2 linked regions of the Coturnix japonica genome follow. The main gene of each other region encodes a partner of the protein of the gene in region 2 in a complex. Links are inferred from orthologs where the notes say so. Each region holds a gene or a part of one and is shown on either strand. Other genes may lie near its edges.

Region 1 (4,214 bases), on a different chromosome or scaffold from region 2:
ATAGAATCTTTCTAGCAGATATGTTTTGTTTAATATATTAAAGATTTGCAAATCTGCCAAATGAACTGTGATTTCTCGCAGAGTTTGCATTCAAATACAACAGCCTATTAGGCAGACAGAGGTCAATGCTTCATGGTGTCCAAAGTGAACAGCCAGCAGTGCTGTGTCTGCATCCTCCAGCGCTGTCTGTGCTCACACACCCCAGTGCTGTCCCTTTGCTGCAGATCCCCAGTGGTTTCCCAGCTCCTGTCAAGCTGAAACCCCATTCCTGGCCCCTGTATTCTATTTACTTCTAATTAAAATGACTTATCTTGGTCTAGTGTAATAAACCATTGCCCACTCCTCCCACTCACCACGTATCCACAGATGACTGTCCCTGCAGCATGGAATGACTCTTTAACCATCAGGATTGATGCTTTTGGCTCCAGTCTCTGGTGCTCCAGTGGTGTTGTTCCAGTGATGCTCATCTTCACTGCCACACTTTGGCCCTCCTGAATGCCCGGATCTCCTCCGGGCCCCTCAGGTACTGCTCTATTTCACTGTCAGAGATGGGCTCATCTCCAGTGATGGCAGCATCCGAAGCACTCAAGGCTGCAGTGCGCAGTCTCTTCTTTGGATGGAGGAGGCAGGGTGGCAGTAAGGGCCTCCGGCTGCCCTCAGCCTTCTGTTTCCCTTCCGAGGGGCCGCCCTTATCCAGTGCTGTCCCTGCTGCTGCTGGAGTATTGCTAGAGGAGTCCTCAGCCTGGGCTGCCCTCTGCTGCTCCTCCACATCCACCGCACAGAAGGCATTTTTCAGCAGGAAGATCCGATGCTGCAGCAGATCCCCAATGTATTTGACCACCGTCTTCTTGTCCAAGTTAAGCACCTTCAGCCAAGCAAGCTCAGCTGCCATCCTCAGGAGGATTTCATAAAGCTCCTTCAGCCTCAGGCGTGCCGGGGGGGGCAGATCAATGCCTGCTGCCTTGCAGAACTGTGTGAACGTGCAGGTGAGGCGGGCAGAGGGCCGCAGGGACTGCCAGGACAGGAAGGCTGCAGCTGTGACGATGGGGATGGGATGCCGACCTGTCACCAGCCACGTCTCACTTGCCAGTTCCACCACCTGCATGGTCCGGGCAAGCATCGCCTCCTTGTCCTCCACAAACTGGGCAGGGATGTCCTCTGTGTGCTGGAACAGCTGGAAACTGGAAGAGGAGAAAACCCACTGTTAGCACTAGGAACAGCTTCAGGACCTGGTTACAGCAACACAGCTCAGACTTATACTCCACCATAGTGGCAGCCACTGATGCCAGTCATCCCTCTAAATAAACACAGAGAAGGTCACAGCAAGGTCCTTAAAGGCAAGGTCCTTAAAGGCAAGGTCCTTAAAGGCAAGGTCCTTAAAGGCAAGGTCCTTAAGCTCCCCATGTTTAAGTCCTGCACTGCCCACTCTCCAAACAGCTTCCTGCAGCAACTGCATTCTGGAAGCTTCAGCACAAACAGGTGTTGTGCACAGAGCACCACATGGGCCACGATGGATGGCTGTTACCTGTTAAGGTGTGTCTTCACCAGATCCATAAGGCTCAGCGCCGGCACTGAGATCCTGAGCTCCTTCTGAAGGCTTAGGTAGACGCTGGTGACCAGTTCCTGCTTTGCATAAAGGAGGGAGCAGATTGTTCCCAGTGTCAGTGGCCAGTTGTGTTGCCGACAGGTCGCCAGCACGCAGCAGCCCACCAGGAGCTCCTTCTTCTCCAGGCTGAGCAGGCGGAAGGAGGGATGCTGCAGTGCTCTCTGCAGGTAGGACACGGCCGTGCCTTCAAACACCGACGGGAGCCGAAGAACCTTACAGAGATCCTGGACCCTTCTGATCCCTGAGGAAAGAAACTGCCCTTAAGGAGCTGCACGAACTCATCCTTATGCAGTAACCTCACAGGGATGTTAATGCATAGAGAACTAACTCCTCCTTTCATGTTTAACTGCCAGCTCATGAAAGCTTTCACCATTTCAGAGATGTGTTAGCATATAGCAAAGCAGGGATGACGCAAGGGATGGAGAACTGCTCTGCAAGGCCAGGTATGGAGACTGCAAAGCTGGGGAAGGGAAGGCTTTGGGCAGACCTGAGAGCAGCCCTATGGTATCCAAGGGGCTGTAAGGAACAAAGGGGTATACAAAGGATGAAGGGGGCTGTGACAGGGCAAGGGGGGGGGTTCAAAGGGAAAGGTTTAGGCTGGATATGAGGAAGGGGGGGGTTCAAAGGGAAAGGTTTAGGCTGGATATGAGGAAGGGGGGGTTCAAAGGGAAAGGTTTAGGCTGGATATGAGGAAGGGGGGGGTTCAAAGGGAAAGGTTTAGGCTGGATAGGAGCAGTTTGCAAGCGATGCACTGCCATTGGTTACCCAAAGGTGGTGCCTTCCAGCCTTACCTCTCTGCTCGCATCGGTTCAGCTGCTCCTTCTGCCCTGTGCTCTGCGAATAAGCCACCTCTGAAAGAAACAAACAAGCAGCAAATCAGAGCCCAGCTCAGCAACGCGTAGAGCGGATCCCCCCCCCCCCGGCACAACCCTCACCTCGCAGCTGCCCTTCATCGCTGTACGTGGTGGTCAGCAGCCCCTCGGCCAACACGCAGCCACACGCGGCGCAAACCAGCTGCTGCTGCGCGTAATGAGCGTCCTCCAGCAGCGCCGCGGAGCCGCACTCAGGGCACAAACCGCGATCCGCCATTAGGAACCAAATAGGGGTTGTACCGGTTACAGCCTATCACGGCACCGGGCGGTGCAAGCCGAGCATGGTCCGGGTGGAGAGCAGCTCGTAGAGCGCTGCGTTCCGGCACCACGAGGAGCAGCAGAGCTCTGATATAGAGCAACTCAATTAGGAGCTGTTAGCCATCACAAACCTGCTCTCAGTCAGACACCAACAGCTCTGCTAAAGGGAAAACACAGCCATGAGGATATTGGAATGAATGTAGCTCTGCTATGACATCCACAGCTCTGCTAAAGGGAAAACACAGCCATGAGGACATTGGAATTAAGGTAATTTTATTGTAGTGTTCCATAAAACCCAAAGGGTGTTTAAAAACAAACAGTACCCGCGATAAAAGACCGTATCAACATACATTGAGGTCATTCAGGAATATCAAGCAATTCTTAAGGCCCTTAAAATCAAGGTGAGCACCCCTGACACCAAAGAAAGGCTTTAAATAGACCGTAGATGGTGGTGTGAGGGTTGTGCCATGATTTCACAGCTGTGGAATGGAAATGTGGCTCATCCAGGAGCGCTGCCTGCAGCACCTGTCACCACAGGGGATAATAACACACAGTGCTGAGGTCGTATTGCCTCAGTGATAGTGGTAAATGGCAAAGGACAGTACAAGGTTTAAGGCTCTGTCTTTAAGGTGAGTTATTAGCATACAATGCCATTCTGTTCCTGTGCAGAACGTTGAGATGCAAAAGGAATGCAATGTTAAAACTTGAAGAGATCCAGAGTGCAAAGAGCGCTGTGCACAGCATCATACACACAGCATTGCCCTCACTGCTAAAATGAGATCCATAGAAGCACATCAGGCCTTTCTCAGCCCATGTCCAGTGATAACTACCAACAACAGCATCTGTCATTCCGAATGGTTATGATGTTCAAAAGGCACTGCTGGTTTTCTGACTCTCTAAACCAGGATAAAGTAATGGAATAAAGCCTAGAAGACAAGTTTATCTATGAGGTATAAAGAACTATTTCTTTCCAGAGATCTGCGGGGAGGAAACAAAGCACTCCTCCATCCCGCTGCTATTTCAAGGCACTGGGAGCAGCATCCATTCCAAGCAACACAAAGCAGTGCCACCCAAAGGTGCTGCTCAGAACTTGTGCATCTCAGAGCCCCAAGTACCAACCTGGAGTCTTCAGAGACTCTTAAAGACACTTAAAGCAAAAGGTTTTGCTTCAACTTGAGCTTCTCACGCAGGAGAGCTTTGATTGCCAGGGTAGACTTCAGCAGTCAGCCCAATTACAGTAAGGAAACATGATTAACAGCTTTGAGTTTCCAATCAACGTGTACATCTCTAGGATAATATATTAACTACTTTTCACTACAAAAATACAGTATTCATTTGAGAAGTCTCCAGTAATTTTCAGTGTTTTATGACAATAGTAAGACTATTAAGACTACTAAGAGGTTAATAATTAATCCCTCAATAAAGTGCTTCACTGTAGGAAAACTGTGTTAGAAACTCCTTTCAGGCTACATCAGGAG
Region 2 (3,647 bases):
TAAAGACAAGGCAAACTGTGCTCAAATAGGTAAGATTTAGAAGATATTCTGTTCAGAATTCATGTCAGTATATTCATAATTGAGATTCTTATCTCCTGGAAACATTAAAATATAATTTCTACAGAGACGATTAGCACTAATGTGATCAGTACTAATAGGAATCATAGTAACAGAATAATAGGAATAGAAAATTGAAACAAGATGCGTAATTGTTGCATTAAGTGCTTTAACCTATACCTTAATTTCTGCTCTGGCTCTGTGAGGAAACAATTGTCCAATCAAGGAGAAGTCCGTTCCAACCATACTGATAGCTAAAAAGAACATGTCTGTTTCTGGGGAAGAAGGAAAAGATACATAGCTATACATACACATAACTGCACAATATTAAATATGTTCTGTAGATAGCTAGTAAATAAAAGTTAACTCATTTCAAAGTGCTAGTGATTACTGTTATTATGAACACAACCTCAAACAGGAACCAGGCAAATAACACCTAAAACACACTGTTACTATTCCTTGTAAATAGGGTAATAGCCCATCCCAAGAGCAGCACAGTATATTCTGAAGCTAACTTTTCCATATGAGTTATTAAAAAATGATAAGAAGTTTTGCACAGTGCTGTCAGCCATGATCAGCCATGATTCTGTTATAACAACAGAGCTAGTTATAACAGAAAAACAACAAAACAGAAAAACATATCTTCTGTATGCATTAGAAAAATATAATGTAGAAACAACTTATTTCCGCCCATGCTGGAAGAACCCATTAGAAGAGTTGCTAAGAAAGGCTACCTGTTCCATACTGAGCTCAGATATCTTGATAACCCAAGCCAAAATTACCCATCTGAAAAAGGCAAGCATTTCCATGGTATCTAAATTTCCATAACAGAAATAGTCATGAGTATCCTACAAAATGCACTGGATTTCTTTAAACATTCCTATTTTCACAGACAAAAATCAGAGCTCTGCTTGTTTAAAGAACTTAGGTGTGGAATGTCAGGCTTAAGCAGATCCATAAACTTCACTGGGAATAAAATTTGTTAAGCATAAAGCACTGGTGGAAAACATCTTTGTGCTGATGCAAAACATGAAACCAAAGGTACACCCACCTTTATTTGACCATGGTTTGGTATAAAAGCTTTTCCTGAAGCTGGAATATGTAGTTGTAGAGCCACGTTCAAAAATAGGATCATTTTCTTCTACAACACAGGGACCTTTTGTTCTTAGAACTTCTACAGTTAAACTACAAAAGCAAAGACAAAAGGCATTTGACAAGCAAGATACACATATAACATTTAAAGGCCAACTACTTAGACTTTTCCTGCCATAAGTCAGGATGCATTGTTATCCACTGTAACTACCTTACTGTTTATTTTAATGGAAGAATGTGGTAAAAAGCATTAGATTACTCAGACTGTGCAAGCAAATTTGGTTTTCCCTTTTTATTAGATATAGTACAAAGACAGATAATTAAAATATCTTTTAAAATTAAAATCACCTTAACAAACATTCAGCCCTCTTACAAAGCATGACATCTTCCTTGCTATCTCCTTCCTCAAAACGTGTTTTTCAGAGGAAGTTTGCCACTACTGAGACACAAATAATTGTTGCTCATATATTGCTGTATATTTGCACTGTCCTCTATATTAGCACAGCTCAACTCTCATCACATCATACGCTTGGGTCTCCCTCACTCAAACAACAATCCTATCTACAAAAAAAAGAAGCATCTAGCACCTGTTGTCCACGAGTCAAACACAGAACTTACCTCTCTTCATCCAGAATAATTGAACCATCTTCGGCTACTTTCACACGAGGAACTAGAAGTGGACCATCCTGACCTTCCTCCTCATTCTCTGCCTCCTCCTCATCTTCCTCTTCATGATCGGGAGTACTTTTCTCTTCCTGTCTACAATATTAAATAGAAAAGTTGTATGACTTTTGGTAGCACTCCACCAAATTGTTGCTCTGTAGGCCAAATGCTCAACAATTTAATTAACCACTTAAAATACAACCCATAAACATGTCAAGCTCATGCAGACTCTGAAATCTGCTTTTCATTCTGTTGTGTGATGGACAAGTTCAAAATTGTAATATGAAAAGCAAGAGGGTCTTTTACAAAACACTCTCACAGCTTGTTTTAAAGAAGGGCTATGATATTGAAACAGTAAATGAAGATGTAATGTTATTAATACTACTACATTTACACATTCTATTTTCCAATATCAGACGACTTTTTTTTTTAATCTAAGTACCTTCATCTCTAAGACTTACTCTTTCATTTGACCCAGAGTAGAACTCTTTTCTGTCCTCTTCTCTTCTGCTAACGAAGACCTAGAATTTTTAAGAGACGCCAGTTTATACTGATATATTTCTGCTTCATTCCCTCAAACCCACTTTCACTGGATAATGCATAAACAAGCAACAAAACATAAACTCTGATTTTCAACTCTTTCTATATCTGAACTTGCCCAGAGCAGCCTGATCTAATGGGTGGTAACCCTGCCCACAGCAGGGGGGCTGGAACTGCAAAGCCCCTTCCAACCTCTTCCATTTTGTAATTATTCTCCCCATCTGTACACATATACAGGATTGCCCCCCCCAACCAAAAGCAACATTTTGCCGTACTGAATCTCACTAGGTTCATGTGGACTCACTTCTCAAGTGAGGGTGACTGTCTTTTACATAATGCATTCAGAAGGTTGCACAACTATGTAAATTTATTGTGATATATTTAAGTGAGGGGTCCAAGGGAGGGAGAAACAGTGATCCTGATGGATCAGTATGGAATAAGGATGGTGAAATGCATATGATTGGAGCAGGAGACAGATGAATGGGCTATAACCAGTCATTACATCTAATTTCTATATGAAAGTGCTTAGAAGCTTTTGTTGCCATTATAATAATACTGCATCTGTGCTAACACTCCAGATTTGAGAATTCTCCTCATAATCATTAAACAGAAAAAGAATCATTCAACCCAGGAAGGAAAAAAGCCACACTTACTTCATTGGATTGTTTTCTGGTAGGTAGTATATCAAGTCTCTCATGGTCATTTTAGAGCGATCTGGTGGAGAACATCCTTCAATTATTGGAGGCCTGTGTTTCAACTCTTTCTGTATAAAAACAAAAAACTTAATTTCAACAAGGAAGTACTTTTCATTTCATATATAGCATTTGTTTGTTACGTACCCTAGTAAAATGAAGTTTGTTATTTTGTTGGTGGGATTTGAGGGTTGTTTTTTTGTTCTTTTCACACTGAACTGGTTAGTTTATGAAAAGAGTATATTTATCAGAGTGGAGACTACATATCCCTTAAGAGATTTACCCTCTCAGAGATATTCAATGCTTGGCAGAGCTAAGCCACATAACTCAGTTTGTGAAGGTCTAAAAGATGCAAGAAATCCCAAATCCCAAGGTAGAGGCTTACCATCCGCTCTTTCTTCAGCTCTTCTTTAAGCATTTCTCTTAACTTCCGAGCTTTGAGGATCCTTTCACGGTCAGAACATATTCGTTTCTCTTTCACAGGAGATGGTTTTGGAGGTAGCTTTTCCTCCTGTGCCACTGACGTTTCCTGTGTTGGTCTTTCCTTAAGTGGGGAGGGTAAATTTTTTAAGGTATCATCATTTTTTTGAGCAGCAACAGTTT

What was found.
Region 1: BDP1 (region 2) and BRF2 share a complex: the UniProt entries of both Homo sapiens proteins name them as parts of the TFIIIB complex. The link is inferred for Coturnix japonica from reciprocal best matches to the Homo sapiens genes BDP1 and BRF2.

Annotation. Positions count from the first base shown.
Region 1 is NC_029537.1:3,589,195-3,593,408, forward strand, and holds the start of BRF2 (transcription factor IIIB 50 kDa subunit), read right to left. Parts: upstream 2,884-4,214; 5' UTR 2,696-2,883; coding exon 2,542-2,695; intron 2,458-2,541; coding exon 2,398-2,457; intron 1,848-2,397; coding exon 1,526-1,847; intron 1,182-1,525; coding exon 470-1,181; 3' UTR 1-469. UniProt on the Homo sapiens protein: General activator of RNA polymerase III transcription. Factor exclusively required for RNA polymerase III transcription of genes with promoter elements upstream of the initiation sites.
Region 2 is NC_029547.1:64,468,986-64,472,632, reverse strand, and holds part of BDP1 (transcription factor TFIIIB component B'' homolog), read right to left. Parts: coding exon 3,430-3,647; intron 3,116-3,429; coding exon 3,006-3,115; intron 2,334-3,005; coding exon 2,274-2,333; intron 1,909-2,273; coding exon 1,768-1,908; intron 1,243-1,767; coding exon 1,109-1,242; intron 333-1,108; coding exon 238-332; intron 1-237. UniProt on the Homo sapiens protein: General activator of RNA polymerase III transcription. Requires for transcription from all three types of polymerase III promoters. Requires for transcription of genes with internal promoter elements and with promoter elements upstream of the initiation site.